2 linked regions of the Arabidopsis thaliana genome follow. The protein of the gene in region 1 purifies or fractionates together with the protein of each later gene. This does not show direct contact. Each region holds a gene or a part of one and is shown in the gene's direction. Other genes may lie near its edges.

Evidence for each region.
Region 2: the proteins of AT2G46520 (region 1) and XPO1A fractionate together in Arabidopsis thaliana (co-fractionation; one large-scale study listed by BioGRID). This does not show direct contact.

What each region holds. Positions count from the first base shown.
Region 1 is NC_003071.7:19,088,177-19,105,548, forward strand, and holds AT2G46520 (cellular apoptosis susceptibility protein, putative / importin-alpha re-exporter), read left to right. Parts: upstream 1-8,236; 5' UTR 8,237-8,690; coding exon 8,691-11,609; 3' UTR 11,610-11,611; intron 11,612-11,698; 3' UTR 11,699-12,197; downstream 12,198-17,372. Other genes in the region: PI4K GAMMA 4 (phosphoinositide 4-kinase gamma 4), read right to left, coding at 1-358; SDH4 (succinate dehydrogenase subunit 4), read right to left, coding at 1,837-2,292; AIB (ABA-inducible BHLH-type transcription factor), read right to left, coding at 3,011-4,711; ARF11 (auxin response factor 11), read left to right, coding at 16,936-17,148, 17,229-17,372.
Region 2 is NC_003076.8:5,587,488-5,603,451, forward strand, and holds XPO1A (exportin 1A), read left to right. Parts: upstream 1-7,144; 5' UTR 7,145-7,416; coding exon 7,417-7,515; intron 7,516-8,046; coding exon 8,047-8,163; intron 8,164-8,243; coding exon 8,244-8,336; intron 8,337-8,430; coding exon 8,431-8,502; intron 8,503-8,657; coding exon 8,658-8,765; intron 8,766-8,836; coding exon 8,837-8,919; intron 8,920-9,043; coding exon 9,044-9,182; intron 9,183-9,265; coding exon 9,266-9,334; intron 9,335-9,419; coding exon 9,420-9,497; intron 9,498-9,665; coding exon 9,666-9,728; intron 9,729-9,821; coding exon 9,822-9,866; intron 9,867-10,006; coding exon 10,007-10,114; intron 10,115-10,247; coding exon 10,248-10,346; intron 10,347-10,486; coding exon 10,487-10,687; intron 10,688-10,840; coding exon 10,841-10,900; intron 10,901-11,162; coding exon 11,163-11,273; intron 11,274-11,548; coding exon 11,549-11,646; intron 11,647-11,784; coding exon 11,785-11,893; intron 11,894-12,188; coding exon 12,189-12,254; intron 12,255-12,346; and 27 more. Other genes in the region: AT5G17010 (Major facilitator superfamily protein), read right to left, coding at 364-495, 735-872, 1,151-1,249, 1,411-1,491, 1,606-1,668, 1,781-1,828, 1,902-2,270, 2,386-2,487 and 6 more; UGT78D3 (UDP-glucosyl transferase 78D3), read right to left, coding at 15,711-15,964. UniProt on the Arabidopsis thaliana protein: Receptor for the leucine-rich nuclear export signal (NES). Binds cooperatively to the NES on its target protein and to the small GTPase Ran in its active GTP-bound form. Required for the maternal-to-embryonic transition and during gametophyte development.

The sequences.
Region 1 (17,372 bases):
CACAGGTAGTCTTAACATCAAGAACCTGAAGATCAGAGAGCTTAAGAACCAAGTGGAGAATGTTGCCTTCACTAACACCATAATCACGCATATTAGAATTGCTTCTAGCTAGCTCTCGACCACCGAAAACAAGCTTCTGATTCCTCACAACAAAGCCGCGGTAAGACTGAATCCGAAGCTTAACAGACTCAATGGAATCAGACTCAAGCACTCGCATTGGTATCACCGATCCAGGAAGTGTAAGGTAAATCATGATGGTGTCGTCAGGATAAGAATCAAGACAAGAATTGGCACGAACCAGAGGCATAATCAATGGCTCGCTACGAACCGGACTTAACGCAACACCAGCTGATGACATCTTCTTTCACTTGGAGAAATCTAAGAACTTTCTTACGGAAAAAAACAGGATTCGATGTTCTTCACAACACAAAATCCCTCAGCTTCTATATATATATATACAACAAACCGCAATAATCCCTAAAATCCCAATACCATCGCTTCTTCTTCTTTTTCGAGAAACAACAATAACAAGCCCTAGGAAAAAACAGAGGAGATCAAACCTAAACAGATCAGGGATTGATTGATAGCTACAGGTGAATCAAATCGAGCCAATTGATGTCGCCGATGACGTACCATATGAAGAAAAAAGAAAGAGAGAAAGAGAGCGGATTCTTACCAGAAGGAAAGAACCAAAGAGGAAATTGGGACAAGGCGTGGAGCTTTAACGATGATGATCCAATCCAATAATAGAGTTTTTAGGGTTCAATCTAATGGCGTACAAAACAGCTCGCGAAACAAGGGTCAAAAGAGTTTAGAGGAAAGAGAGAGAGGTTTTTCAAAAGGAAAGTGGTAGGAAGGACACGTGTCTCCACCTCGTTCGCGTAGGTGACGCGTACAATGAAGCTTCTTCTTCTTCTTCTTTAATGTACACTTTTCCTTTGTTTATTGTCAACGGTGTACGGCAGTTTCGTTGATTTTGTTTTGTATTTTACCCTTGGAGTGGAAACCAAGCCAGAGACTTTGGGGTTTTAATCGTCATTATTTCACCGTTTTGGATTAGGATGCTTTTAAAACTTCGGATAAGGAGAGAGTTAGTATTTGAATCAATGAACCAGTACAATCGTAATTCGTATGGGCCTACAGATAAAAAGATGGGCCTTTTAATTCGCTTCTTTAACTCGTTTCATATCCCTTTGTTCTATTCAACCTTTCAGGCTTTCTGCTATGGAACATGAATATTGTTGGTCCAGTTGCATCTTAACCAGGTTCATGAACATCTAACTAAGATTCAATTTGATAGCTTTATATCTTCAAAATCTCATGTTTGATCTAAGTAAACATAACATCGACAATTCTCTGTTTGTGACTTCTTGAGAGTCTCCATCACCTTTATAATGATCACACCAAATCCAAAACCAGAAAATCTCTTCAAAAGTTGTATATAATCAAACCATCTACTTGGTAAAAACCACAACTTTTCTACTGCAAAACTCACGTAAGTCTCTCGTGCTTCTGATTACAGTAAAGCTAAATTCGAAATGCAAACGTAGTGATTAAATGATCCTCAAAGCTGAGAAAAGTTGTCATTATTCAATCAAAAGATTAACAGGCTTAGAATTCCATTTTAAGCCTTACAGAATCAAATACACGAAACCAGAAACTGAAACAACACACAACAAAAGCTTGAAGGTAAAAATGCAACATTGCATCAAGTTCTTATTCATAAAACAAAGAAGATAAAAGGAAAGACCTTTTTTTTAGCCCACACTATTCATTCATTAACAGGTGATGATGATCGAGAGTGTTCCTTAGATCCCAAAAGATGTTTACTTGGTTTCAGAGAAGAAACAAGATAATATCTTTAAGAACGATAATCTGGAACAATCCCAAAGACATCACAATCAAATTCCTTGTCATTTCTTGGTGAACATAATCCGCCAAAATCTCTTCCATTCCTTCATGTATGTGAAAGACTACAGGGATTTTGCGTAAGAAAGAGCCATTAGTGTAACCTCGAGAAGACGATTGACGCGAGAATTTGGCTGCCTTGTTGAGTTCAGATTGCCCAATTGAAGACGAAATCGAGCGATCGGTGACGAGATTGGTTGAATCTGGTTTCAGTTTCTGGGCTTGTGCGAAGGGGATTGAAGAGAGGTCTCTTCCCAGTGGGTTTCTCACGGCGGCGGTGGCGGATGCGGAGGAGATGTGACTCATCGAGAAAGGTAGAGACTTTGAGAGAGTGGCTCTCTGGGTTTGACGGTGGAGATCGAGGATAGTGCGGCGGAGAGACATCGTGGCCGAGGAGATAATCTGACGGAGAAGGATTGAAATTGGATCTGATCGGAGAAACAAACCCTATGTGAAATGAATCGGAAGCACAATTCTCGTCGTAGAGGTGAAGATGCATTAATGGAGTTGGGCTTTATACTGGGCTTTTCAGAACTACCAGAAGCCCAAACCAAAACCAAAATAGATTATTATGTGCTGCATTGCATAAAATAATGGACCAATGGAAAAAAAATAATTGATTCTCATTTTTAAGTAATTTTTAGCTCAGTCTCTTGAAATGTCAATATATCATATTCATGACCAATATATAAGATTTGGTCACTTCAAAATTCAAATGTACATGAACATTCTACAAGATAATTAATCAAATATTTACCTGAATAACATTGATTGGATAATATTAACTTGTTATAACTATTGCTTTATTTGAAAAAAAAAAAGAATGGATCCCAAATTGTAACTGAATAAAGCATCCATAACAAAGAAAGAGAAGTCAAATATCTTTCATACTTTATTTGATTTTCTAAAGTATAGGAAATATTTTCCCAAGATACAAATATGTGAATCAATGGTCTAAATAAAGTTAATGAATATACTTAAACCGGATTCCTTTCACTATAAGAAAGAGAAAAGAAAAAAGGATTTTATCTATTTCTAGTTGAACCTGAAAGTTATCTATACTGAAACAAGAATAGACAAAAGCTTCACCATCATGTGAAACTTATATATCACCAGAGACCTGTGAACTAGAAGAAGGCAATGGCGGTTGCGTCGAGCTGGTCTCGGGGTAAAACGCTGCTATAAGCTTCTCTTTCGTCAATGGATCCGACCCGTTGTTAGACTTTATCACAAAAGTGTGAAACATTGTGTCTTCAGCTAATGATAACTTAGCCTCCATTAGACTAACATTTGAGTTTCTCATTGCTTGTATGATTCTTGAAGCTGGATGTGAATCCAAAGGCGAGATTACTCTTACAACAACCTCTTCATTCATAGCTTGAATGTCAACTTCTGGACTTTCTTCTACTGTTATTGTGTTTGATTCTGATAAGCTCTTATCTGTTCCTACTCTTTCATCTTCCATTATCTTGACTTTCTCTTGAAGCTCTTTGATGTAAGAAATTGCGTCTCCAAGTAGAGAAGCCTTGTCCATTTTAGAAATGTTTGGAACAACTGATCGTAAAGCGTAGAATCTTTGGTTAAGCTTCTCGCGTCTCTGCCTCTCAGCTTCCACATGGTTCAATGGCTCTTCTCTTCCGTTTGCAGGCTTTCTCCCTCTCTTTCTCGGTCTCTTCTCATCAACAACAGAAACTATTCCTGCTCCTGCTAACAAGCTCACTGGTCTTTTCTCTGTACAAGATTCTGATTTTTCTTGCTGAGTGTTTGTAGATGGATTCGAAGAAGCAGCAACTGATGATCCCGCAAACTCAATCTGCGTCTTGTAATTGTTATTATCTACAACCATATTCACATTCTCTAGCACTTTCACATCATCCCTCTGAGGTGTGTAACCAAATGTTGGACCTTTATTGTTATTATAGCCTTCCCAACTTTGAGGAGTGAATCTCTCATCCAAGTTTCTTCTCACTTCGAGCTTCTTAGGATACGCGTGAGCTCCACTCAAATCCTGCCCGAAAAGCTTGTGAATCCCTCCAGTCATGTTAGTGTTTGAAGTCACCATTACTGGTTGCGTAACTCTCCTCATGAACAAAGCTTGAACAGACTTAACCAAGCCAATGTTTTCAGGCAAAGACCAAACAGAACCAAGCTCAAGAACACCAGCATCAGTAGGAACCATAACGATCGTTCTGATTCCCGCAGATTTCGCCATAAAAGACCTGAAACAATAGTCAGACTCAGAGTTAACTGCATCAGAGAGCCACACATGTTTCCCTGAAGAATAACACCTCCCAGGACCGCCTTCACCGTGATTGAAGAAGAAATACATGGAAGCTAAGAAGAAAATCTCAGTAGCAGTAACTTTCTCTAAGCTCAAAGCATAATTGTCTTCATCAGATCCACCAAACAACCTATGAAGCTTCTGCAACACTCTCTTCCTCATATCTTGCCATGTCTCTTCCTCTGCCCCCATGTTGTTAAAATTATAAGACCTAACAACTTTTGATTCCTCTTCCTCATTAGGCTCTCGACAACACCCATCTCCCCAACCTAAGACTTGTTGTCCGGATCTAGACATGGTTTGTTGCCAGAAAATAGCGTAGTTCCAGCTGAAATTCTCCGAGTTTGGCCAATCAACGAGACTAGAGAGCTTCTTATTCAGAGTATCATCAGTTCCCATAACAAGAAAGAGATTCTGATTCGAATTAGAGTTTGCTCGAAGAAAATCAGAAGCTAAATGCCCTAAAACAGCACTAACCACCGATTTATCTTCATCATCCCAACCTAAATCACTCATATTCATCTTTCTTTATCTCCCAGATTACACCAAATCCTACCAAACCCAAAACCACTTAAACGGAGAAGAAAACCAAACCTTTCTTCTACACAACTCAATGATTGACTCAACGATGCTTGAAACCATATAAACTCGAGTCTCTCCAGCTTCAAGATTCCAGTAATCAGATTCTAAGGAAGAAAAGGTCGGAGCTTTGAACAATTTGAAGAATACCCACCAGGAAAAAATGCAAACCCAGTGATGAATCACGCTCAAGAGAAGCTTGCGCCGGTGAAGAAATATCTCGCCGAAGAAAGATTCCAAAAAGCTTTGATTTTTACAGAGAAATTGAACAATTGAATGAGAGTTGCAACTAGAAAAGTCTGAAGGTTGAAGAAGAAGAAGAAGATACAGTTAGAGAGGGAGAGAGAGAGAGAAGGAGACAAGACTTGCTGGGGTAATTGAAGTTTGTATGAAAGCTCTTTTTAAAAACCCAACCATGGTTACTTATGCACGTTAATTACTTTGGTTATTCAACTTAACCATGGTTAATAATTACTCTGATTATTAACTCTGTTTCCTGATTTTAAGTTCACTTACTTTGATTGTTTCTCTCCGAATAAAGATAGAAAATCTAAAATCTCTTTTCAAATCTATTTTGCAAATGGATTATCTCACCCCTAAATCTGGCTAGTCTTTGAATTTGTCTCCAAATCCGATTAATTTCGTAAAAGTAATACATACTTGATGGTGATTTTAGTGAAACAACGATATTTGCACTTGGTAAATTTTAGAGAAAATAGTGTTTTGTGTACACACGTGTGTATGTACCTACGTGAGAGATTCAAATTATAGTAATGTACTTAAGAAGTATAGATCACATGGTCGAAATATTTTAAAATTTATTATGTACTAAATAGTACTAAATTAATTATTTGTTTTTATTTTTTTCTCTACCAATAAAAATAACTCACATGCATAAAGAAACAAAGAAATATTGTCTGAATTGTCTGGTGGGGTTTTGGTTATTTCAGACATCGTTATTAACGTGGGTCCATTTAATTAATAGTATAGTCTGAGTATATTATTCTTATCAATAGTATATATATAGTCCTTAACTTCGATATAAAAAATGGTACGTTCTTTCTTTATTTAGATTTTTATGGAAAGAAAATTATTTGTCGCATAGGATTTGCGTGAATCTCATGCCCAACAGTAACGTTCAACAAAAAGGGTCTCGTTCTGTGAGAGAGCACCATGTGATGGACTTTTAACCTACTTTTCTATCATCATGTGTTTGTAGTTTTCTAATTGTTTTCTCCCCATTAATTAAAAACTTTTTTTATAATTACATGATTATATTCATAACCTATTTTAAAGTATTATCGCATGAGATAAGCCTCACCATGTTTTGTATGGGGATATTTTCTTATAATAATTTAAAATGACATCATTAAAATTTGCATATAAATAAAGAAAGAGATTCGATAAACCTAATTCAAACTTAGGGATAGATAGTACAATGAAAACTCGTACATTGAAATGTATACGTTGATATACTAAAGCTTTGTAAAAAAACGTGATGATAATGTACAATATTGTGACGTGACATGCAAAATTTGACCTCTTGTTTTGTAGATTAGGATGATAACGCGATGATTGGTGTCTTTTGAGTAATTCGGAGTCGCACCAACTTATAAATTCTTTATCTTCTTAAGTTCTAATAGAACAAAAAAACTCATATCTCATATTTTAATTAGTACTAAAAACTATAACCTAATACTGAACGTGTTTTGCGTAGGCTTGTTTAATACTATTTTTTTTTGTCTATAATAATTAATACTCTTTCGTTAGAAGAGAATAGATTAGATACATTGCTTCAAAAAAAAGAAAAAAGAAGCTAATAATAGTTACAAAACAAAATTGGCTTTATCATTATGAATTTCACTTATTTATCTTTTTAAGATATGTAGAGAACCTAATTTAAATTTGAATTTGTAGATTGAATTTCGGTAATTTTATATAAAATAAAACAAAATAGTTTTAACAAAATTCAAACGAGTGTTATATATACATTAGTGAGATTATGCAACGAGAATAAAAAAACAATAACGGATAAGAGTAGGGCTCAATAATCGAATGGCAGAGAGCGAATGATAGGGAAAATGTGGGGTCAAGTGGAGACACTCGTGACTACGGTGGTCTTTATTGCAGACAATAACTTCTCCTGTCTCATATGCCTTTTGAAAACGTAAATTGCAAAAATGATTTGTCGTGTTTCACTTCTTTTGTCCTCGCAATTTCGCATTCTCTTTCTCTATTCTAACGAAAAACGCGTCTAACCATTTCGTAGATGAAAAGTTGTAGAAGATTTGAGCAGCTTATCAATTTCGCATTCTTTTTCTCAATTATAAACGCGTCTATCCATTTATAAGTTGAGAAGTGTAAAGGATATATAACTTGAATGATTATCAACAAAATGTAGGGAAAATAAGCCAAAAATAAAAACGAGTTAACAAAACCGACTCTATTGTGAATTCATAATATAGGTACTAAAATTTATATTGTATCACTATTTCTTATTAAAAAAAGTGTTACCGTTCATTTATATACCTCTATATTTTCTCGAAAACTATACTTTAAAAACTACATAGAAAAACATGCATAAAATCTTAAAACAAGTTTGTTTTTCTAAAACATATTTGTATAAAGGAACCGTGGGAGTATATATATGTTAATATGTACTATATATTTTGTCATTCAACGTATGTTTTCTTCGAAAGCTACCAATATGTGTAAAACTAATGTTGCAAAGTGGTGTTACTTGGGAAAATTCGGTTAGGAACAAAGGGGCTAAATAAGTCGCTTTGTTTACGCAACTCATCTTCTATTCTTCTTTATATATCACGCGTTTTTCGTGGGCTTCAATGGGCCACATGAGGTCGACATTTTTAACCTTTATATTCAAAAGTACGGCAAAAATACATCATGCGCCACGTGGCTTTCTTTGTTTATCATAATCTCACACGTCTCACGTGTGACAAATGCTAACGCTAACTTAACTAGTGGGTTTGGTTAGCCAAAATACCAAATGATACAATAAGAAAACAAGCTGAGTTACTTGGCAACAAAATTTAGTTCGAGGTGAGAAATTCATGTGCAATTGAATATTAGTATGACTCGTCTGGCTTTAACATCAAAATCAAGCACAAAACAGAAAAATACGTCATCAAAGCAATAACTATTTGACTAATTAAGAAACTCATTTTCTTGTTTGCAAACCCTTTTTTATATATTTGTAGTTTTGTAGACAAACGAACGTGATGCGTTTGGACCAGCGTCACAGACGTTGACGGCTTTGGGACACGTTTGAAGAAAGAATACGTCGACATTTCTTATTTCAGACTTGCTCTCTTTTTAGGTTCACTACACGAATTTTCACGTACACAACTTCACAACACGTTTTAGTTACGAGATTCTGTTTTTTTGTTCGATAATTTATTTTAGTAACACGTAAATAGATGATTTATATGGTTGGTATAATTATAAATGCACCGACAGACTTGAAACTAGAAATTCTACCGACAGAAATTCTTGCTCGGAAACCATAGACTACCTACCCTATTAATGTCAATGCTATTTGATTAAAAACAAAAGCATTAATTGATCTTAGAGTTATGGGTTTATATTTTATAGGAAAGAGTAAAAGCTCATTATATTTATGGGCTTATAGAAAAGAGCAATAGCCCATTTAACCGACTTACTCTATCGGGTATAACCAAAAACCCGATAACCCGGCTCGTTCATCGGGGAATTTTCCGTTTTCTAAAAGTAAATCTCTTTGAAATAAAAAAGCTTCTCCGTTTCCCTCTTTTGAAAAAATCAGAAACCCTAAAATCGCCACTCTCTCGTCTCTCTTCGCGGTCCATTCTGCTTCATCTCTCCCGGCGAAACCTTAATCGAACAGCTCGGATTCGATCCTATTCTCTGTTGTTTTCTAAGAAAGATGGAGTGGAATCGGGAGACTCTAGTGTTCCTTTCGCAATGTTTTCTTAACACGCTCTCTCCGATACCGGAGCCTCGTCGAACGGCTGAGAGAGCACTCTCGGATGCTGCTGATCAGGCTAACTACGGCCTAGCCGTTCTCCGTTTGGTGGCTGAGCCAGCAATCGATGAACAGACGCGTCACGCCGCTGCTGTCAACTTTAAGAACCATCTCCGTTCGCGATGGCATCCTGCTGGTGATTCTGGTATCTCACCGATCGTAGATTCTGAGAAGGAGCAGATCAAGACACTCATCGTCTCTCTTATGCTCTCTGCTTCTCCTCGTATCCAGAGCCAGTTGAGTGAAGCCCTAACCGTCATTGGTAAGCACGATTTCCCCAAAGCTTGGCCTGCTTTGCTTCCTGAGCTTATCGCCAACCTTCAAAACGCTGCTCTCGCTGGCGATTATGTGTCCGTCAATGGTATTCTTGGGACCGCTAGTTCGATTTTCAAAAAGTTTAGTTATGAGTATAGAACCGATGCTCTGTTTGTTGATTTGAAGTATTGCCTGGATAATTTTGCTGCTCCTTTGACTGAAATATTCCTGAAAACGTCTTCGTTGATTGATTCTGCTGCGAGCTCTGGTGGTTCACCTCCGATCCTGAAGCCTCTCTTCGAGTCCCAAAGGCTGTGCTGTACAATATTTTACTCTTTGAACTTTCAGGACTTACCGGAGTTTTTCGAGGATCATATGAAGGAGTGGATGGGAGAGTTTAAGAAGTATCTATCTTCAAATTATCCCGCCTTGGAAAGCACAGAGGAGGGGTTAACACTTGTTGATGATCTTCGCGCTGCTATTTGCGAGAATATCAATCATTATATTGAGAAAAACGAAGAAGAGTTTCAAGGCTTTTTGAATGAGTTTGCATCAGTTGTCTGGACATTGCTCCGGGATGTGTCAAAGTCTCCTAGCAGAGATCAACTAGCTACTACAGCAATCAAGTTCTTGACCTCTGTGAGCACAAGTGTTCACCATGCTTTGTTTGCGGGGGACAATGTTATCAAGGAAATTTGCCAAAGTATTGTGATTCCTAATGTTTCTTTGAGGGTGGAAGATGAAGAAATTTTCGAGATGAACTATATTGAGTTTATCCGTAGAGATATGGAAGGAAGTGATGTGGACACTAGAAGGAGAATAGCTTGTGAGCTACTCAAAGGCCTTGCCACAAACTACAAAACACAAGTGACAGAAGTAGTTTCTCTTGAGATACAGAGGCTCTTGAGTTCATTTTCAGCAAACCCGTCGGCAAACTGGAAAGATAAGGATTGTGCAATTTACTTGGTTGTCTCTCTATCTACTAAGAAGGCAGGGGGTGCATCTGTGTCTACAGATCTCATTGATGTTCAAAACTTCTTTGCAAACATTATTCTCCCGGAGCTGCAAAGCCGCGATGTCAACAGCTTTCCAATGCTAAAGGCAGGGTCCTTGAAGTTCTTAACTATGTTTCGTAGTCATATACCAAAGCCCTTTGCAATGCAGTTGTTCCCAGAGTTGGTCCGTTTCCTTAAAGCAGAGTCGAACGTGGTCCACTCTTATGCTGCTAGCTGCATAGAGAAGCTCTTGCTAGTGAAGGAGGAAGGCGCAAGGGGTAATAGGTATGCTGCTGGTGATTTAAGTCCCTTTTTGCTGCAGTTGATGACAAACCTGTTTGATGCGCTGAAATTCCCAGAATCAGAGGAGAATCAATATCTGATGAAGTGTATAATGCGGGTCCTTGGTGTTGCTGATATCAGTGCTGAGGTTGCTGGACCTTGCATCGGGGGATTGACCTCTATTCTCAGTGAAGTTTGCAAAAATCCTAAAAATCCTATATTTAACCACTATCTCTTTGAGTCTGTGGCTGTACTTGTTCGACGGGCATGTGAACGTGATATTTCTCTTATATCTGCATTTGAAACGAGTCTTTTCCCAAGCCTCCAGATGATTTTGGCGAATGATATCACAGAGTTCTTGCCTTATGGGTTTCAGTTGCTGGCTCAGCTTGTTGAGTTAAATAGACCAACTCTCTCACCAAACTACATGCAGATCTTCTTGCTGCTCCTCTCGCCTGAGTCATGGAAGAGAAGTGGCAATGTTCCAGCTCTTGTGCGCCTGCTTCAAGCTTTTCTGCAGAAAGCACCTCATGAGGTTACTCAAGAGAATCGGTTGAGTCAAGTTCTGGGGATATTTGAAAAGCTGGTTGCATCTCCTAGCACGGATGAGCAAGGCTTTTATATCCTTAACACGATTATTGAGAATCTGGACTACAGTGTGATTGCACCTTACATGAAAGGTGTATGGAGTGCTCTATTCACACGCGTTCAAAACAAAAAGACAGTCAAGTTCCAGAAGTCGCTAGTAATATTCATGTCGCTTTTCTTGGTGAAGCATGGACAGGCTTATCTAGTGGAGACTATGAATACTGTTCAGCCAAACATCATCACTGCTATCGTGGAGCATTTCTGGATTCCGAACCTGAAACTGATCATGGGGAGTATGGAGGTCAAGTTAACGGCAGTTGCTGCAACTAGACTCATATGTGAGACTCCGGCTCTCCTGGATCCATCAGCTGCTAAACTCTGGGGGAAGATGCTTGATAGCATAGTGACGCTTGTTTCCAGGCCTGAGCAAGAAAGGGTACTTGATGAACCTGAAATGCCAGAAATCTCAGAGAATGTTGGATACACAGCTGCATTTGTGAAACTCCACAATGCTGGGAAAAAAGAAGAGGATCCTCTGAAAGACATCAAGGACCCAAAACAGTTCTTGGTCGCTTCTGTTTCGAGGCTTTCTTCTGCTTCTCCTGGTAGGTACCCACAGATAATTGGTGAGAATCTTGAACAAGCAAACCAAACAGCTTTGATCCAGCTCTGCAATGCTTACAACTGTGGAATTGCTTGAAGGTAAAGTGTTTGTATTGACTTGAAGAATGGTTTCAGATTCGTATTCAGGAATCAATCTTGATGGTGATTATAAACTGTTTTTGGCAGGAGAAAAAAGGGGAAAGAAGAAGGGAAACACAACATCACTGGATTGCATTGCGTCTGCGAAGAACAAGTGGTCAAGTCATAAATGCATATTTTTGTCCTAAAATCGGGAGTTTCATAGCATGTGCAAGTTAGATTAGAGAAGAGCATCCATCATCTTCCACCAAAACTTGGATTTCTTATTTTTGATTTTCGCATTTAAATGGGGGGTTTGTCTTGATTTCCCTTTAAAAGCAAAGCATGTTGTTCATCTCTGTATGGTGGTACTATGTGTTTATGTGCATTTTGTCGTAATGTCTGTTGGTCATGGATTCATCATGGTTTTGGTTGTTATTAAAGATGGAGAAAGCCAAGCATGTTTCATAAACTTCTCGATTTGGAGAACTAGTTTCGACGTGGGCCTGTAATCGAAGTTTGACCCATATATCTAATCAAGTCAATTTTTCATTATCATTTTTTTTGGGGCCAACATCTCTTCCTTGATTAAGAAATTTGTTTTTATTTAACTCCGTGCTTTAAATTTTAATTTAATCTTTCAAGTTGAGAAGTGGAGTGTACTGTCGATACAAAATTGTGAAAGAGAGAGAGAGAGAGAGAGAGAGAGAGAGAGAGAGAGAGAGAGAGAGAGAGAGAGAGAGAGAGAGAGAGAGAGAGAGAGAGAGAGAGAGAAGAAATGGGGAACAAGAGGTTAGGAGGTGATTGTTGGTGCTAATCATATGGACCTATGACCACTAAACTCTTGCCTAATTCTTAATTAACAATATCGTCATTGACAACACATGAATAAAGGAGGGAGAAAATGGTAGTTTTTTTGTTTGTCTTAGGCCACCAGTTATACAAATCGCACTTTTTTTTTATTTTTCACTTCCTAGCAATCATTATTGTAGGAAAACATTTGATGTCGACAAAAGTCTTGTAAGTAATCTATATTTCATACTCACCACTCTTACGTTTTTTAACTTTATACTATTCATAAAATCTTTATAACAAAACATTATAAATTCGGCTGGTATATTGTCTAGTGACCATCTAATATGGCCCTCGCACGTTGGCGATATCAATGATTGTCATGTTTTCGTCTTCATATTTTGTATCCATTTTTATTTATCTTATTTATCTGTATGATATAGATTGTATATGAGAGACATGTTATGGGTAAGGGGAAATAATGGAGATGGGGAGAGATAGAGATTGAGACCCATCATGGTCCTGGCATTGAGAGAAAGAGAGAGAGAGATGGTGTCATATGATATGATCATGTGATTTATCATATGGTCCCCTCGTTTTATAATATAAGAAAATGAAATTATAGTGGACCAACCATTGTTAATATATCGTAACTTTCTTGTTTCGACTCTTTTTGAACTTTGGTATAAATTTATGTTTATGTATGTGTGGATTTGGCTTAAAGTAGATTCAAACTCAGTGAACCCACTCAAACACAGTTGTCAATAATTAGAGACCTAGTTAGAGTGTACTTTTCTTTTTTCTTTTTTATATAAGATGGTAAACGTTTTCGATAGCAGAATTCAGTTTCTCCAAAATTATACTTCATATGTATCATAAGTCATCTGTTTCGAGTTGAACGATTTGTTAGAATCAGATTCATCTTGTTAGCGAGTCTACTCACGTTAGATTATTAAGACATTACGATGTACGACTACCATATCACACATTAGAAAGAACAAACAAAAATGGAGTGCTTTCTTCTTTGATTAGTTTTAAATGTTTTCCCCCAAGTATTTTATGAAAACTTGACCAATCCTTTGTCAAACATGTGAGGTGCCTTTATTTGAATAAAATTGGAAAAAGGTAATAAATAAACACAAACAAGTACTAGGAATCCTTTCCTTATTTAACAAAATAATTATACATCCACCACTTCCTACAAATATATGTTAATTTCACAAAAGAGAGCAATCATGGAATGAGAAAATAAAACAAAATTATATTTTCATTTTTCCCGATAATAATGAATTATATATATGACCCGTTGAATTGGTAAATTATATAGGTAGGAAAATGGTACGAACTATTTTTATTCGGTAGAATGGATCTCAAACAGATTCTCCAAGATGTATAACACGTATCGCTGGAGTTGTACGGACGAGTTTGATACGAAATTCCCATTCAATGATACACTTTAATTTAGAGGATTTAAATGTTGTTTTTATAATGGGATTTGAATGGATGCTAATTGATATTGGAACACATGTTTACTATGCAATCAGATTTCAAATGTTAGATGATTAATAAAAATGAAACAGGATAAAATATATTTTTTAATTGTTTATGTGAAATTTTCTTCTAGTGATGTATCATCATTTGTTTATGTGAAATTTGATATTCCATATGTTTTAGTATATCCATAAGAAACTCATATCTAAAACTGATGTATCATTATCCATTAATATTAATTTGTTGTACAAGTGAATGATAGTTAATATCGCTTATATACGTGATTTCTTGCCGCATGTACGTGAGATCACACTTCATGTGCATCCAAAAATTTGCATTTTATTTCTAGAAATTAAGCGACAAGGAAGACAGAGCTAGAGAGTACTGTCTTTACTCTTTAGACGTGCATATGTCTCCTCGTACTAATTACTCTTTTAAAATCCTTGCATTTCATTATTTTCTGCGACAACATATTTGGTCGGAACTTGCCAAATGATGTAGCTATTGTCCACGTGATGTTTTAGTTTGCTATAATATGTTTTAAGTGGATCCTTACTCAACATTAACACCACCCTATAATAATAAAAAAAATTTAACCATTCATTATTCAAGTTTGATAACCAATATATATCCGTTGCTCAAAAAAAAAAAAAAAAAGATAACCAATATATATCTTATTGCTGTATTTATCTTTATATAGTTTTATTTTAATAGTTTTTGAAAACTGAAACCATAACAAGAAAGCGTGAATCCAAACGCATTCCTATGAATTGTAAATTGACAAGTAGCATTTTAGAATAGATGGAATCTAATCTCTAAATCGTAACCGAATAAATGGATTGGATCCGTTGCACAGATGGTTTACAAAGATAATCATATTATAACTAATCCGAATTTCAATCTTGTTTTGATCTATCTTTTAATAGCAAAGTCCATGAGTTTAGTGTTTTTGAGATTCCTGGACCAAAGGGTCATTTTTCGCATATTAAAATGAATGAGATAATTACGACAAAAAAATGAATGAGATAATTTGGGAAAATTAAATATATACAAAACCATTATTATATGAATGTACTAAATTATTTTTAAATTTTTATATTTCACCTATACCTAATACAGAATACAGTGTCATTGCTTTGACTCCCTCCACCAACAAGTGAAAAACCTAATAAAATTTTACTAATAGAAAACGAATAGTGGAAGAAACCATGTAATGTCCAATCAACCAGTAAATCGGTTTAAAATATATAAAAAGTCAGTATTCTTAAGTAGAAAGATAATAAATTTGTGCAATAGTAATCAAGATAGTAGATACGCCGTTGGAATCAAATCTTCTTTTCTTGAATGTGTTGTTAACTTAAGCCAACCATTTGATTCTCTTTACTGCAGCTATATTAATTATTAAACACCAATGCAATAACCATACATTTCTTCGTTTTATTTAGTCTGTATATTCGATCATGACATCATTCTCCCACACTTCCAAAAAAAAAAAAACAATTCGATGACGATATCTATATTAGTTGAGACATGCATATCTACAATACGAATATTCGTTATTCTCATTTACTGATGTGGCGATTATGATTTATGACTAAACGAGTGATTAACTATATACAAAAAGTAACAATTAAAACAAAAGTAATAGAAAAATATTGTGAAATGAAAATTCCAGTGTATCACTAATGAAGCAATTAAGAATAGAAAACTAATACTATAATGTTTATATTCCCATCCGTGCGTTTCCATTCACTTTAAGAAATGATCATATTCGCAACCAACAATTTGAAGCAAACGGTCCTCTACTTTTTATTGTTCGTTTTCTCTTTACCGAATTTTAAAATCACGTTAATTATCTGTATAACTACCTTTTTGCGTTGAAGTATTTACAACTTGAGTAAAATGTAGATTCGTATCAGGATACAAACACACAATAATACTATTCAGAGTTCTTAGTAAATTAGTTTCCTTTTGCAGCGATTTATTTCCGTCAAGTGTATAATATAGTTAACCAACATAACTTAAGTTAAAATTTCCCAAGTATAGATATAACAGAAGATCAAATATCGACTCGAAACTGAGTTATAATTAAATTAACACGTGAAAATAAATAGAAAAACAAGAAAATATCTCGCACGCTTTCCAAAGCCCTAGAACAATAACGTTCGATGGATTGGAAAAATCTCTGCTGGTACATTCACGAGCCAACACGTTTGCCTGCCACGTTCCAGACACAAGCTAGAAAGTAACGGCATCGTCAAATCTAACGAGACTCATCAAGGAACAATTTATAAACATCAATTTCTTTTTGGTTTCACACGCCTTATTATGGTAAGAAACTATTTTTGCCTATTGAATGAAAAAAATTGATAAGACATATGAAGGATGAGACCTAACTATAGTCTTAAGTACATAACATTTACTACTACTCAAAACCGTTGTCTTTAATTTTAACGGTCCACATTCGTTCTCACAATAATTGACCATACGTTTGTTTAAATACTTCAAAGGAAAGGAAAAACAGCAAGACGTTTGTGAGGTAATGGACAAACGACACGTAGTTTGAAAGATGAGAAGGAAGACAAAAAGGCATAGAGAGGAGGAAGAGAAGGAGCGGTTTCGTAACTGAAACTGAAAAAGCTTTAAGAGAAAACCCGGAAAAAAAAAAAGAGAAATATTTTAATCAATTCTTCTTTATCACAAAGAGTGCCTTTGTATTAATGAATTTTGATGTTGTGTAATGAATACAGACATAACCGTCGTGTCTCGTCGTTAAAGAAACGAGAGTTTTTCAGCTCTTTACTTACCTTTTCTTCTTACCCTTCTTTCATGACTCTTCTTCTTTGATGGGTTAATAATGCTTTGAGCTTGATGATTTCGATTTTAGTTTCCTGTTAGTGTTTGTTTTCTTCTGTAAAGCTTGGATTTTTTTTGGTTTCTTCGATGGCGAATGTGGAAGCTGATTTCAGAACATCAGGTGAGTTCAAATTTTGACTTCAATTTTCTCAAGTTTTGAATTTTCTTTTTCTCTTGGGAAAAAGTCAACATTTTTAACTCTAATCATGAGCCAAACAAGCTTAGAGCCACTTATAATTTCTATTATAAAGCTTCAAATTTTGCAACTTTGGTTGAAATTGATAGCTGTTGGTTGGAATTTAGGGTCTAATGATGATGAATTGTACACGGAGCTATGGAAAGCTTGTGCAGGGCCACTTGTGGAAGTTCCTCGTTATGGTGAAAGAGTTTTCTACTTCCCTCAAGGTCACATGGAACAAGTAAAGAATCCAAACTCTTAAGATTATTCCTTGTTTTGTCTTTCTCAAGTTTTAAGATTTGAATGTTTGTCTTTTGGCAGTTGGTTGCTTCGACTAATCAAGGAGTTGTTGATCAAGAGATACCAGTGTTTAATCTTCCTCCAAAGATACTTTGTCGTGTTCTTAGTGTTACGTTAAAAGCAGAACATGAGACCGATGAGGTTTACGCTCAGATCACATTACAA
Region 2 (15,964 bases), on another chromosome or scaffold:
GAAACCTTCGGATTTCGAAACATCACTGGTTAGGACATATTCTACAAATTTAAATTCTTCTATGATGTTTTCTTTTTTTATTTTCTAACTTCATCAGAGCGCTAATAATCATTACAAAGATTTCTGTATTTATGAATTCTCGTACATGTATTTTGCTAGAAACAACCGAGCCTTTGAAGTAACATTGCTTCAAATAACTTAGTGGTCTCTGAAGATTCATTTCCCGTCTTGTGCGGCAGATTCATATGTTTATTTGTTTCTGAACCTGCACTATTATTTTCCTCACTGATTAACAATATGAATCAAAATCATGTGAGGAAGCACACGACTTTGTGGTTTCTAAGCAAAGAACAGACCTCTTTTTTAGAGACATTTGGCTTCAATTTCCTCAAGAGTGAGACCCTTTGTCTCTGGCACAATGAAGAATATGAATACCAGAGACAATACACATATCACACCAAACCCACAAAACAGTATCCCAGCTCCCAGCAGTTCCTGCAAAACAGAGCCATTTGAGCCAAACGAAAAGTTCCAGTTAGATATCAGAAGAAAAACTACTCTAACTGTGGGTGTCGATATCATTCGACTAGAATTTCACCACGACTAACCATATGATTGACAATTTCTTCTAAAGTAAAAAAGTCTTGCAAAAGGGTTGCTACCATTTCTACAGTAATGGCCATACCAAGCTTAAACAAACGAGAATTTTTGTCCTCAAGGGAATGGTAGGTTACCTTTAGGGGTGAAAACGCAAATGTCACAAGTGCGTTTGCACCAAAATTCACAAGCACTGCTAGACTGAGACCTCGACCTCTTAGTTTAAGGGGAAATATCTCTGAAATCATCAGCCAACCAATTGGACCAAAAGATAGCTGCAAGATTGATGGTAATACGTTCAAGCTCTTATTGAAAAGTAGAAAGCCAAACATGTTGAAAAAAAGAACTAGAAGCATATCAAAAGTTTTAAGGCGAAAATAATGAAATCCATGAATCACTTTTGTACATAAACTCCAATGGAACTACTTGTTATAAGAACTCCAACTTTAGATGCCACGAGTTATATCAAAAAGTCTATGATACTTTTAGGACAAGCATTGACATTGTGGTAGTGAAGTTTGATTAGCAAAATTCTAATCAACTATTTGTTTACCTGGTAACAGCCCACATAAAGCAGCAGTGCAACTACAGCAACAACTGGTGAGGCGCTGAAAAAGAGGTAGTATGACCCCAGCAGGAATAATGAAACAACCTGTTTGACATTGAAAATAAAATGTTATTAGGAGTATTGGGTTCTCTCTATCATTGAGCTGAACATTTAGTGAGCTTGACCTAAATTTACTGTACTTTTGCTTAAGGTGTATAAACGGAACATGGATGAGAAAAGGGAAGGGATAAAGACAGAGGACATACCATGCCACCAACTCCACCAAGAAGTAAAGGTCTCCTTCCAAGTCTGTCGATAACTACAACAGCTACTCCTGTCATAATCAACTGCAACAACAGAGGCGGGTGTTATTTCTTTGAAGGCAAAATAACTAAAACGGCATTTCTTTATTACATTGGAAAAGTAACTTAAATTTTAGCCAGGTGGGAAACAGTGAAAACCTTCAATAGACCAAGTAGAATTGAGACCCTTGTTGCATCACCTGCGGCTGAAAAGCCAGCGGTCTAACAGGAAATGTGGGATGGGGGGAGAAGTTAAAAATCCAGTCGTGAGTTTCGAAGTGCAACAAAGCCAATATTATACTATACAGAAAGTTTATTTAGAGAAGAAGAAAACCTGCAGTATTGATGGTGCATAATAAAGCACACTTGGTTGTCCAGTTATCTGCCATTAGACAAGAATTCATTAGTAATTATTCTTTCAAGAGAACACAATGATTAGATTTGACTATACCAACCTGCTGAAACAAGACTAGACCTCCTCCTATGATGAGAGCTTTCAAGCACTTCCCTTGAAATAATTCACCAAATGTGACTTCTTTATCCTCGCCCACAAAAGTTAGTTCAGCCAAAATCTCATTTACTTGTTCAGCAGCTGAATCAACAAAAGCAGGGCCTCTAAGGCAGCAGAGAGATTTGATTGCAGCCTCTCGTTGGTTCTCCACATTCCCTTTCCCCTGTATGACGCGCAACAAAAGCCACCTAGGGGATGCTGGGAGCCACCACATCCCAATTCCCATAATAACTGCCAAAGGGACACTTGTTGCATACATGTATCGCCAACCAGAATGAACATTGACTGTAAGACTACCGATTCCATAACCTCCCTGTGTAAAATTTTGTATGGGGATATGTGAGATTAACTTGGTGAACAAAGATTTCAACTCAACTGCTTCACATAAAGCAATCAACGTCCTAAATCTCAGGGTTGCAGGAACTTACAACCATCCCAAGGACTATGAAGAATTCCTTTAATGATACCAGCTGTCCACGTATCGGACTTGGAGCAGTCTCTGCAATGTACATCGGAGCCGCATGCATTGCCTAAATGTAGGGAAACAATTCAGTTCCCGTAGCAAGAGTACTGCTATATGTAATCCACAGCAAAAGCACATGGATAAACAATATTTTCGAAAGGTAAACAAGATTTCTAGTCACTGGCTTTTAAGCTGGAAAAACATAAAAAATACGAAGGACGAAGAATACAGTCACAATATATGTGTACTCTGTATACATGTACATAGAATAGACATCAATTATGTTTCTATGATGATGCACTGGATAACAACCCATGCTCAGCAATAGATGGAAATATATTTGCATCAACTGTTAGATTCATTGGAAAGGTTAAGTTAGGTTGATTATATACATGATAAGAACTCCACATCCTTTAGGAGGGGAACAAGTTAAAATATTATAAGACCTTGGAAAGTAGTCACCACTATAAATTAAGAGTGTGGGTGCCCTAAAGTCCTATAAAGCATTAATTTGCTCCCCTCCTAACAGATGTGCGATTCTTAGTACACCGCCAAATGCATAATATATAACGTTTGAGCCATTGGCATGCATAAGAAAGTCTTTAGATGTCAAACAATAAAGAAGCATGATCAGTCTTACCAGTCCAACTGAGACCCCATAAATAACCCGTCCAATTATCAGAACGGAATAGGTTGGGGCTAGTGCAGTCACAAGGGCTCCAACGAGATACAATAATGCAGCCAAAATCAGCTCCTTTCTTCTTCCTTCCAAATTCAACAAAACCAAAACTTTATCTTTTTCCACAAGCAAACATTGCTAAATACTCATGCCTACAAAATGAAGATAGTGAGAAGTAAAACTAACCTATAACGTCAGCGATAGTAAAAGCCACAATTGAGCCAAATAATGCACCGTAAAGTGAGCCACTGGTCTGGAGAAAATTTAACACTATTTTGTAAGCAAATTTGTCTTTACTCCAAATGGCAAACACATATCCAAGAGCGGCAGGTGAATAAATGATAAGCAATGACCAGGATAAAGAAGAAGTATCACATATAACTTGGAAACTTACAACTAGACCAACATCCACTGAGGACAAGTTGTACCATGAAATTCCACTTAATGAAGGCGACTGCAGAAAAGGGAACAGCATAGTAAGATAGCAAAGTCATAGGCTCCTAAAAGAATGTAGACAAATATAAATAACGTACATGCATGTGACAACAATATACAGGAGAAATCAAAGGGAAAAAATGGTCTGGCAAGTGTGAAATATCATGTTTCAGTACTGATATCTCAGTCCAATTTCCAGAGCTTTATAATATTTAGGCTTTGAAAACAGTGACTAGGCACTTGAAAAATAAGTTGAATGATAACAAATTTTGTAGGACTAGATAGTTTCAGACAACTTTTAACTTTACCTGAAGTGAAATGGTTGCACAAGAAGTTGCACCAATTTCATAACCATAAAGCAGTCCTCCGAGAGCTGGAAATAAAAACCTGATAATGAAACAGAAACTTCTTAACATGCATATATCAATCATCAATGGACTAGCTACAAACCAAAAAACTACCATGCGCAAAGGGACATAGGTCCAAATTCCTGCAGATGGTATGTAATTCCATAAGGAATTCTATTTGAAAGCTATGCAAGGTACCATACACAGCGTTCTAGTTTCCTAGTCAGGATACATATTATGCTAAATGATACACAATATAACCAAACAAAGAACACATCGGAATTGTTCAAGAGTGTTTCATTTGAATCATTTTAAGAACTACCAAACTTGGAGAAGAGATGAGAGATCTCACGGGAGAATGGCGGCAACGACAGAGTAGTTTTCTGGGACATGATTCTCTTTAATAAGAGGCTCCCTTTCTGGGCTGATCTCACCAGATGACTTACCAAACTAAAACGCATAAACAGTTTCAGAAAGTTGCCACCCAAAAAAAAAAAAACAGTAAGGAACACACAAATCATGAAACCAACAAACCAATTGTACACAGCATTTAGGGTCTAAAAATTTCATGCTTAAAGATAACTGTGAGGCTGATGGCTAAAAATCCGTAAAAGCCTCTAAATTTCTTCTCAGAATTGAAGCGAGTCCCCAAAAAGTGAATATATGACTCTTAAATACAATCTCTAAGATTCCAACATAGCAAATTTCAGAATTTTTCCAGAAATTTGTCAGCTAAAAGCCAAAGTTGATCTCAAAAGGAACATTCCTAATGTGGCAAGTCAAGAAGTACGAATTTACTAGAGAATTAAGCTTCAGATGAAAGGAGACGTATACTTCAAATGAAAACTCTCTCACACCGTTTAATCGAACAGGAAACAAAACGACGAAGTAGACAATGAAAGGAGACGTATACCTCTCTGGAAACAGAGGAGATTGGTTGCTGCTGCTCAGGATCAAGCGCCATAGCTGTGATTTGAGCGACCGAAATATGAATTCTGGTTCTGAGTTTAGTTAGGTTTGCTGAACGAAACCCATATATATAATTCTCCGGGGTTTTGAAGATTTAACTACTACCACTCAACGACATTGAATCATCTTCACATAGACGTGGAGGTTGGTGACGATGACGGTCAGAATTTGGAATGTTAATCTATCGACAATACCAACCGTTGGATTGACTCTAGTATAAACTATAAAGTATGCTATCAAATGTTCCATTTTATTTTATTTTTGACAGAAGAAATTTGTAACTTAATTTGTTTTTTTGATAATTTTTGTAACTAGATTTACGAACGAAAGAAAGGTGCAACTGGTTGTATATGTCGAAAAAATTGAAAAATTTTGGAAAATTTGAGTTGAAGAAAAAAAATTAAATAATATTCAATTCATTTTATGCAAAATAGGAGATGAAGATAATTTTTTATCTATATATATATTTTTGCAGTCATTCTAGCAAATAAATCGTAGAGTTGAACTTATTTACAACCCAATGCTATTAACACTAAATCTTTTTTCCAAACTAATTAATTTTACTTTACATTCTTAATTTAAATTGTCAATCACATTATCAATCAAATTTAATCTAAACAAATTTCACATCAATCCCTTAAAATCAGCATAAACGTATTTGTTAACAATATTTTAAAACAAAGTTTTTTGTACATAATTTGAATATAAAGGAAACTTAATTAATTAATTTGAATATAATTTGTAACTTAAGTTGTATTATCTTGTAAAAAGGAAACTTAATTAATTTATTGAATTATATATTTATCAATATCATTTTTTCTTTATTTAAAATATATAATTCATTAAAAGGCCTTCCCAAATAAATTGGGCTGGCCTGGTAAATTGTAATTGGGACTACATCCATATCATTACCTAATATTAATAACAACATTTTAAGTTGAGAAAAGAAATCTTAATTTAGACCTTTACATAATAAAAAATATATGATCAATATCATTTTTACTGAATAACTCTATATCACTAAAATATATTTGGCGCGAAATTTTTTATAAACTTGAAAATTATTTAGAATCAATACAAAGTAAGAAAAAACAAATTTCTAGTGCAACATAATCGCGTGATCATCTACTGTTTGTTTGTGAGTTTTCTTCTCAGATTTGAATAATGGTTTTCAGCAGATTGTGTTCGCGTCAAATGTTGTTTTGTTCTTAGGTAGAACTCCTTTCTTCGACTCATCTCTCTTCCCCTGCGGCTCCGTCCTTGTTTCAAAAACTTGAAGCTCATGTCGTGGTTTACAATCTATGGAGACAGTGAAATAACCTCCTTCATAACTCGCAACACCTATCACCAGCTCTTATCTTCAAGTTCGCTGATCGGGAGCTTCACAACAACATCACCTCAAGAAGAAGTAGGAAGAGCTGGCAACGGTTGATGCTTTTTTGGATTCACTAAGTTTACCAAATCTTATGTAAGCTGCTAAGTTTTATTGTAATCTTGTTTTTACTTCTCTTTTTTTGTCACGTTTGCTTTTTATGTAGGTTTTGCTCTATAACGCCTAAAATCTCATTTTAACAATATTTATGTATTTAGCAAAAAAAAAAGAGTATATAAACGGTTGAAAACTTATTATGATATCAGATTGGACACTTTTTGTGAGATTTTAATTATGATTTTAGCGCAAAGTTTAATTTGAAATCTAATAACTCAATACCATGATAATTGTTTTTCTCACAAACACTAGAAAGTGAGTTTGTTTTATTCTCTGTAAATTTAATGTCACTAATCTATTTGGCGCGAAATAGATATTTGGAGCGAAATTAAATTCTTATAAAATATTTAAAAATTATTTGGTAACATTAAATTTATAGAAAGTAAGAAAAACTAATTAATGGTATATGTGGTTAAATTTGTTTATCAGGATATCAAGAAACTAGATTTCAAGATTTTCTAATTCCGCTTAGTTATTAAGAAGAAAAGAAAGGATGCATTAAAAAAAAACCTTCTTTCTAAACAAAAAAAAGAAGAAGTAGAAGATGAACTTTTCCTTTATGTATGTAAATTAAATTCTTTGAAAACTATTTTGTTTTGTTAAGTTCCTTATGTCCCCATCAAGAAATAGCAGAAAAACTCAACAAATTATTAAATTTCAATTCTACAAATAGGCCTCAGAACAATTAAAAAACAGCATAAAAACTTAGTAAACTAATAAAGTTTCAAATCAAATTAATTAATTAAGTTACCTTAATAAAATAATAAGGAAAGAGGAAGATGTAAAACAAATTTCAAAGTCACTCGTTTTCTCCCCGTCCCCTGCGTCAATTTTAAGCTGTCTTTTGAGAACTCTCTCTCTCTATATATATGTGTGTATATATAAGCCTCTCTTTTCTCGCTCTGTGTTAAACCATCCTCTCCTTTCTCTCTCTAGATTTTTATCCCCTTTCCCTCTCTCTCTCTCTCTCTCCTAGGGTTTTCGTCTCTCTCGTTCACTGTTAATAGTCTTAACGGAGAGGTTTGATTAGCCTCCGGGAAGATTCTACTGCGAACTTTGGACACATCTCTCTCTGCCATGGCGGCTGAGAAGTTAAGGGACTTGAGCCAGCCGATTGACGTCGGTGTGCTCGATGCCACTGTTGCGGCCTTCTTTGTTACCGGATCTAAAGAAGAGGTGCTTCAATTTCTCTGGGTTTTGACTTGTTCAAGGGGCTCGACCAATGATTAGTCTATTTCGCGGGTCTGTTTTATTGTTTGAGCGTCTTCTTCTCGATTGGGTGTGAGGAGTAGGAATTAGGAGCGTTTCGTTGTTAGGGTTTTAGCACTCTGATACATCTTTGTCTTAAGACGCTTGTTTCGGGCAGCTCGAGTTTTCAATTTGGATTTTTAGGGTCCTAGAGTTTTAGTAATGTATTGAATTACAATGGTTTAGTTGCTCACTGAGACTCGAGATTGGTGAATTAAGTCCCTTGTTCTTTTGTCGCTTCACTGTTTCCAATCATACTTGTAATTTTTATCCTCTGTCTTTGAGCTCATCTGGCAGTGAAATAGCATCACTTAAAAAGATAATTTTGCTATGATTGTTTAATTTTCTGATTACCGAATCTCGTATTTCTTATACTTCTGCTTCAATGTCAACATTCACCTCATTTGTATTTTAGTTTTTACCTTGAACTAATCGGCATTGCTCCCGAAACATATTCAGAGAGCTGCTGCGGACCAGATTTTGCGGGATTTGCAGGCTAATCCAGATATGTGGCTTCAAGTTGTCCACATTCTACAAAATACAAACAGCTTGGATACCAAGTTCTTTGCTCTGCAGGTCAGTTTTAGTTCCTTATGCAGTTGTAAATTAAAACTGTTCTGTTGAGATACTTTACTCTTTTTGGCATCCACTCTCAGGTTCTAGAAGGTGTTATAAAGTATAGATGGAATGCACTGCCTGTTGAACAACGAGATGGAATGAAAAATTACATCTCAGAGGTTATTGTACAGGTATATACTTTTGGAGGCTTTATTACCTTGTTCTCTGGATATAACTGGGAAGCTTAGTTAACAGAACTGTTTTGATAATGAGTTTACCTTGTAGCTCTCGAGTAATGAAGCATCTTTCAGATCAGAAAGGCTCTATGTCAACAAGCTAAATGTCATTTTGGTCCAGGTATATTCAGCACTCCCTGATAATAATATTCAATGCGTTTATTAGTTGCACTTCTCTTGTCTCTTTGGTTTCAGTAGCTGATACTTACAAACTTCATTCCAACCCGTAGACTTATTTTATCTTCTGGCATAACATATGTTGTGATAAATGCACAGATCGTGAAACATGATTGGCCGGCAAAGTGGACAAGCTTCATTCCTGATCTAGTTGCAGCTGCTAAAACTAGCGAAACTATCTGCGAAAATTGCATGGCCATTTTGAAAGTAAGAATCTTTACATGATATCATAATCAGTTCTCACTGGAATATTTTAAACATTTTCTTCCTTTATTTAGCTCCTAAGTGAAGAGGTTTTTGATTTCTCAAGAGGAGAAATGACTCAGCAGAAGATTAAAGAGCTGAAACAATCTCTAAACAGGTCTATTTGAGAATCTCAATTTTAGCATAGTAATTATTAGTTTTCAATCTTTATTATCGTGTATATGTTGATTAAGTGACGTTGTATCTCATTATTTACCTATTTGTGCTTTTTTTATGTGCAGTGAGTTTAAACTCATTCATGAGTTATGCCTATATGTCCTCTCAGCTTCTCAAAGACAGGATCTTATACGTGCAACACTGTCTGCATTGCATGCCTATCTTTCCTGGATTCCATTGGGTTACATTTTTGAGTCTACTTTGGTAATAGACTTCAAATAATTTATAGATTGATGTTAATTGGTACCACAATATGTTCTTCTGATAGCTGCTCTGGTTATTTACAGCTTGAGACCCTCCTTAAATTTTTTCCTGTGCCAGCATATAGGAACCTCACTATTCAATGTCTGACCGAGGTACCTCAGTTTTTAAGTTCAGTTTTTCCTAATGTTAATTGAATGTATTATTTATTTCTCTATTGGCTCGAATTTTGTCGATCAGGTCGCAGCTCTTAATTTCGGGGACTTCTACAATGTTCAATATGTCAAAATGTATACCATATTTATAGGGCAGCTGCGGGTAAATTAATCGTCTTCTTGTTATTTATTTATTTTTGTCTTTTAGTTCATTGTATTATTAAGAATGATTTTTCTTTCATTCTTATTAAGTTAAAGTAGTGAATTTGGTCTGCTTCTTGTTTGTCTTGGCTTCTTGCCTGATGGTCTACACTTGTTCTCGTACTTGCAGATAATTCTCCCACCGAGTACAAAGATCCCTGAGGCATATTCCAGTGGAAGTGGTGAAGAACAAGTAAGTATTTTCTGCACGCTTGGTTTTAAGGTAGATCGTTCATTTGAATAACTTATCAAGGTTATGACTCGGAATTTTATGTGTCACCTCTAGGCATTTATCCAGAACCTGGCACTATTTTTCACTTCCTTTTTCAAGGTAATTATTTTTCTTTGTTGAGTTAGATATCTCATGTTGGGTTTATGGAAATTTTGATATGTATAATGATTTGTGTTAATGCTTCCAGTAATTATTGTTTCATCATCTATTTCTTAACTATTTCACTACTATCTCTGCAGTTTCATATTCGAGTCCTAGAATCAACGCCAGAAGTTGTCTCTTTGTTACTCGCTGGTCTAGAATATCTCATTAATATATCTTATGTTGACGACACTGAAGTATTTAAGGTACCTAAATTGTCTTTGTTAATATGATTGCTGTTGATAGAGTTGTATGTTAATTTTTTCCTTAATTATATTCTTATGTGCTTTTGTTCGTGTCTGAAAGATGACGTTTTCTGCTTGCTTGTGGATTGAGCAGGTTTGTTTGGACTATTGGAACTCGTTGGTGTTGGAGCTATTTGATGCGCATCATAATTCTGATAACCCTGCAGTAAGTGCAAGCCTGATGGGTTTGCAGGTACGTTGGATTCCTTGACTAATATGATCAATTTTTTACATTTATTTAAGGTTGATACTATAGTTATATATTGTATTGGTTAAACTTTCCTTGCTTTGATTTGGTTACTCACCTTGGGCGTTGACTTGCAATTTTCCCAGCCTTTCCTTCCTGGTATGGTTGATGGCCTTGGTTCTCAAGTCATGCAGCGGCGTCAACTTTATTCTCACCCAATGTCCAAATTAAGAGGGTTAATGATTAACCGCATGGCGAAGCCTGAAGAAGTGCTTATTGTTGAAGATGAAAATGGGAACATCGTTCGTGAAACCATGAAGGACAATGATGTTCTTGTCCAATATAAGGTATCAATTCTTGTCCAGTTCATACTGCTTTTCTTCAGATGTCTTAGATATATACCAACAGTGCGATGTTATACAAGGAATTTTTTATTTATTTGAATCCTCTTTGGATATCCTCTTTGATTTCTTCCCCATTTCTTGTTTGAACAAATGCAGATAATGCGGGAGACATTAATCTACCTCTCACACCTTGACCATGATGATACCGAGAAGCAGGTACAGTGTCACCATGATGATACCGGTCTATGCGTATTAATTTGTGAAATATTGAGGATTAGCAGTCTTATGATCAAGTATGCTTTTTATCAAATGAGTTTCTCCTTGTTATAGTGTGAATTATCATATTAGTACTGCTAACTTTAGCAATTTTAACATGGACCTGTTATAAGATATGAGATTTTCTGGTAGATATGTAAGCTTACTTTGGTCTGTTCCATGCTGTTTTGCTGATGTGAACTTCGGATTGTTCCTTTAAAAGATGTTGAGGAAGCTAAACAAACAATTAAGTGGGGAGGAATGGGCATGGAACAATTTGAACACTTTGTGCTGGGCTATTGGGTCTATTTCCGGATCTATGGCAGAAGATCAGGTAAAATCTTTTGCTATGCTTCACCTGACTGCAAATTCTTTTCATAACCGTAGAAGTTCTTGTTTGTAATGCTGCACCTCTCCATCTGTGGGCTAGTATGCCATAACTTAATTCAAGAAAGTTTGACAGTGTCAACCTTCAATGTTAATTGTTTCTTTCATTAACCTCCCATTTCATGAGATATCATTATCGGCCTGACTGCTCCATACTTTGCTCTGGAAGGTTTACATTGTTAATTCTGTGCTAACAATTGTTAAATTCCATTTTTTCTTCAGGAAAACAGGTTTTTGGTGATGGTCATTCGTGATTTGTTGAATTTATGTGAAATTACCAAGGGAAAAGACAATAAAGCCGTTATTGCAAGCAACATCATGTAAGTTTGTTACTACAGCTGAATTTCTGCCTAGGTTGTTGTACTTCTATCATCTTATATTTTCTATTTCTTTCAAGGCGATGTTAGATTTTTTTTGGTTAAGTATGACCTCTCTGTTCTGCTGTCGCTGGGTTGCAGGTATGTCGTTGGCCAGTATCCAAGATTCTTAAGGGCCCATTGGAAGTTTTTGAAGACAGTTGTGAACAAGTTGTTTGAATTCATGCATGAAACACATCCTGGTGTTCAGGTAGCTGGTCCCAATCTTTATAGTTTATATATTATGAGATACAGTTTTCCAGGTGGAATCTCAGATAAAATGATGTGTTATTCGCTGTTAAAATCCATGAATAATATATTTTTAAGCTCTTGGAGAATATATTGGTAGCAAAAATATGCTCAAGTTGTTAATTACGGTGCTGTAGTTTATTTATAATCGTCTCAAGCTATCTGAAGTCTCTTTTTTGACTGAATATTCTTTCATAGATTTATAGACCTTGCACCTTCCCAATCACAGATACTTGATACTTATGTTTCCCTTTCAGGACATGGCCTGTGATACATTCTTGAAAATAGTTCAAAAGTGCAAGCGAAAATTCGTTATTGTACAGGTATGTATTGCTGTATTTTTATCCACCGTTAGGTTTTAGTATATCCATTGTCTTCTGAATGAGATATTAATTACAGCTCGTTGTTCTTTCAGGTTGGAGAGAATGAACCATTTGTATCTGAACTTCTAACAGGCCTTGCAACAACTGTTCAAGATCTTGAGCCTCATCAAATACACTCATTTTATGAATCAGTAAGTTTTCCAGAAATATTATTCGCATGCCAATCAGAGCAAATTTTCCTGTTGTGATCTCATCGTTTCTCTTTTCTCCAGGTTGGTAATATGATCCAAGCAGAATCAGATCCTCAGAAGAGAGATGAATATCTCCAGAGGTTGATGGCACTCCCCAACCAGGTATGTTAATTAAAATGTGGCTATTTTTGTTTACATATCTGGCTAAAATTGTTCCCCTATACAATGTAGAAATGGGCAGAAATCATAGGACAGGCACGCCACAGTGTAGAATTCCTCAAGGATCAAGTTGTGATACGTACAGTGCTAAACATCCTACAGGTCTGATTTCTTACCTATTCCTCACAATGCATTATGATTCCATCACGTGAATTCATGTCATTATAGTAGTTAAGATTGTGCATCTGTTGGTGTTTAGACAACTGTTGGTTTGATTGTAAGGTCCAACTAATAACATGTGTTTTTCCCTGCAGACTAATACTAGTGCTGCTACTTCACTGGGAACATACTTCTTATCCCAAATTTCCTTGATTTTCTTGGATATGTTGAATGTATACAGGTAAATCCATGATGCATCCTTATAGCGTTAATAGTCATGGTTCTCTTTCTCTAGTTCTTTTACGTGGATGATCATTTTATTTTTTCCATGGCTGCACCAGAATGTACAGTGAGCTTGTGTCAACCAACATTACTGAGGGAGGACCATATGCTTCCAAGACATCTTTTGTAAAACTCTTAAGGTTTGGATGGCTTTATGCACCAGAAATAACGTTCTAGATGCCTCTGTTTGGAAAAACTGGAATAATTTGTATTGTGATTCTTTGCTATACAGATCGGTTAAGAGGGAAACACTTAAGCTGATAGAAACCTTTTTAGACAAAGCTGAAGACCAGCCACACATAGGGAAACAATTTGTGCCGCCAATGATGGAATCAGTACTTGGTGACTATGCGAGGAATGTGCCTGATGCTAGGGAATCCGAAGTTCTTTCACTCTTTGCAACGATTATAAACAAGTATGCCTCTTATTGTTGATGTGTGCCCTAATAAATTAACTGTAATTGTGAAAAGGTTGGAAGATCTGGGCAGATGTTTACCATGCTGCAATATTTTATTTTGACTTTTTTCTTTCAGGTACAAGGCAACAATGTTAGACGACGTGCCTCACATATTTGAAGCTGTATTCCAGTGTACATTGGAGGTAACAGATTTTATGGATTGTGTGTATTTGACGGGATGAAAGACTTGCGTGGCGGTCGTTCTTATGCCTTGTATACTTTATTGACACCTTTTATTCATCCTATTGCAGATGATAACTAAGAACTTTGAAGATTATCCAGAACACCGCCTCAAGTTTTTCTCATTACTCCGTGCTATTGCTACGTTTTGTTTCCCTGCCTTGATAAAGTTATCAAGTCCGGTTAGTGATTACGTTTTTGCATATATTATTCTTTTACGTGATTGAAAAGTCGTTTGACCTTCTTTCTAAGCCTTCTCTCATTATTTGCTTCTGTTTCTTACTGTATCGTCATTTTGCAACAGCAACTGAAGCTAGTGATGGATTCAATTATCTGGGCATTTAGACATACTGAGAGAAATATTGCTGAAACCGGGCTTAATCTTTTGCTTGAGATGCTGAAAAACTTTCAGGTTTGGTGTTTATTTTCCTTCTTTTAGCTCAGTGGTTGTGGCATATATTACGCTTGCTCTAACACTTTACTCTGATTGTGACAGCAATCTGAATTTTGTAATCAATTCTACCGGTCATACTTTATGCAAATCGAGCAAGAAATATTTGCCGTTTTGACCGATACCTTCCATAAGCCTGGCTTCAAGCTACATGTGTTGGTGCTGCAGCAACTGTTTTGCCTGGTAAAACCATCTCTTCTCTTGTTGTTTCTTATTTGATAGCTTAAGTAATCATTTACTTGGGAATGGGTAGTTCTATGCACTTAGCCGTTTGATAATTATATATTTCAGCCTGAGAGCGGTGCTTTGACAGAACCCTTGTGGGATGCTACAACCGTTCCTTACCCGTATCCGGACAACGTTGCATTTGTTCGCGAATACACCATTAAGCTACTGAGCTCTTCATTCCCAAACATGACTGCAGCAGAGGTAATAAAAACTAAAACCAGAAGTTTCACTTTCACAGTTTTCATGTTGGTTTTTTACTTCGTATCCTGATATATTGATATCAACAAATAATACAGGTCACACAATTTGTGAATGGACTATACGAGTCTAGAAATGACCCGTCTGGATTTAAGAATAACATTCGTGACTTCCTTGTACAGTCTAAGGAGTTTTCCGCTCAGGTACTTAACCTGTCTTTCGCAAAAGCCATTCAAATTGGTTTTAAGAACTCAAAACCAAATAGCCGAAGCCAATTTGTTGAATACTTATTTTTCAGGATAACAAAGATCTCTATGCTGAGGAAGCAGCTGCACAGAGAGAGAGAGAACGTCAAAGAATGCTTTCAATTCCTGGGCTTATTGCTCCTAATGAGATTCAAGACGAGATGGTGGACTCATAAAATTAAGAAGGGTGCAACAAGAAGAAGCTTCCTGTGTTCAATGGGCTGGATTTTTTGTAATCATAGGTTTTTGAAAACAGGAAAGAGTTCAAGGAGAGATTAATTTCCCCGACCGTATCTCTACTACCGTATTCCGAAGCTTCTCAATTCGATTTTGAGGATTGGAAAAGCTAAGAAAACAGAGATCTTTTTGGGGATAAATTAGTGTCTTGTTTGGTTAATTAATTGGGTTTAATGTAGATTTAAACATTAGGGACCTTCTCTAGTTATCTCATATGGTTGGCTCCTTTTTGCTTTGACCTTTTTTTGGGGGTTTGTTTCTATTACTCAGTGATTCGTGTTTTAGGTGCAAGATATTTTTTTAGACTCTATCTTTGTCACCCCCTAGGGGGTTTAAAATTGTAAGATTGACTTGTGGTGATGTTTCTCATTAAAATCGTCCACTTTAAAGTGTGCTTTGACAATTTTATCAAACAAAACTTTGAATTTAGTCATCATTATTTTACTCTTATTTGTTACCCCATATGAAATAAAACTACCACTAAATTAAATAAATACAACTATTTAATTTATGAAAACGAAAATGCCATCTAAATTAAATTATTGACACGTAACAATAAATATTAAGATAGCATAAAACGTTTATTTGTACTTCGAAAACTTATACGTCAATAATTTATTATTCCCGCCCACAATGCAAGATAACAACTAGTAGGTGTTGTTTACATGTTTATCCAAAGTTCACAACTTCGTCCAACAATCCTCCAAAATTCTCAAAGGAGCTTCCTTTGGTAGAGACAGCTTCTTGTGCTAGTTCTTCAAGCTTTTTAGCATTAACCTTCATCTTCTTGCCATCATCTTGAACCAAAACCCGATCCAAACTCTCCTCAAATCCATCCTTCGTGAAGACTCCACTACTAATCGTCACTCCGATCTCCCACACAGCTTCCACAGATCTTGCATTGATTGCATGATCCCCGAAAA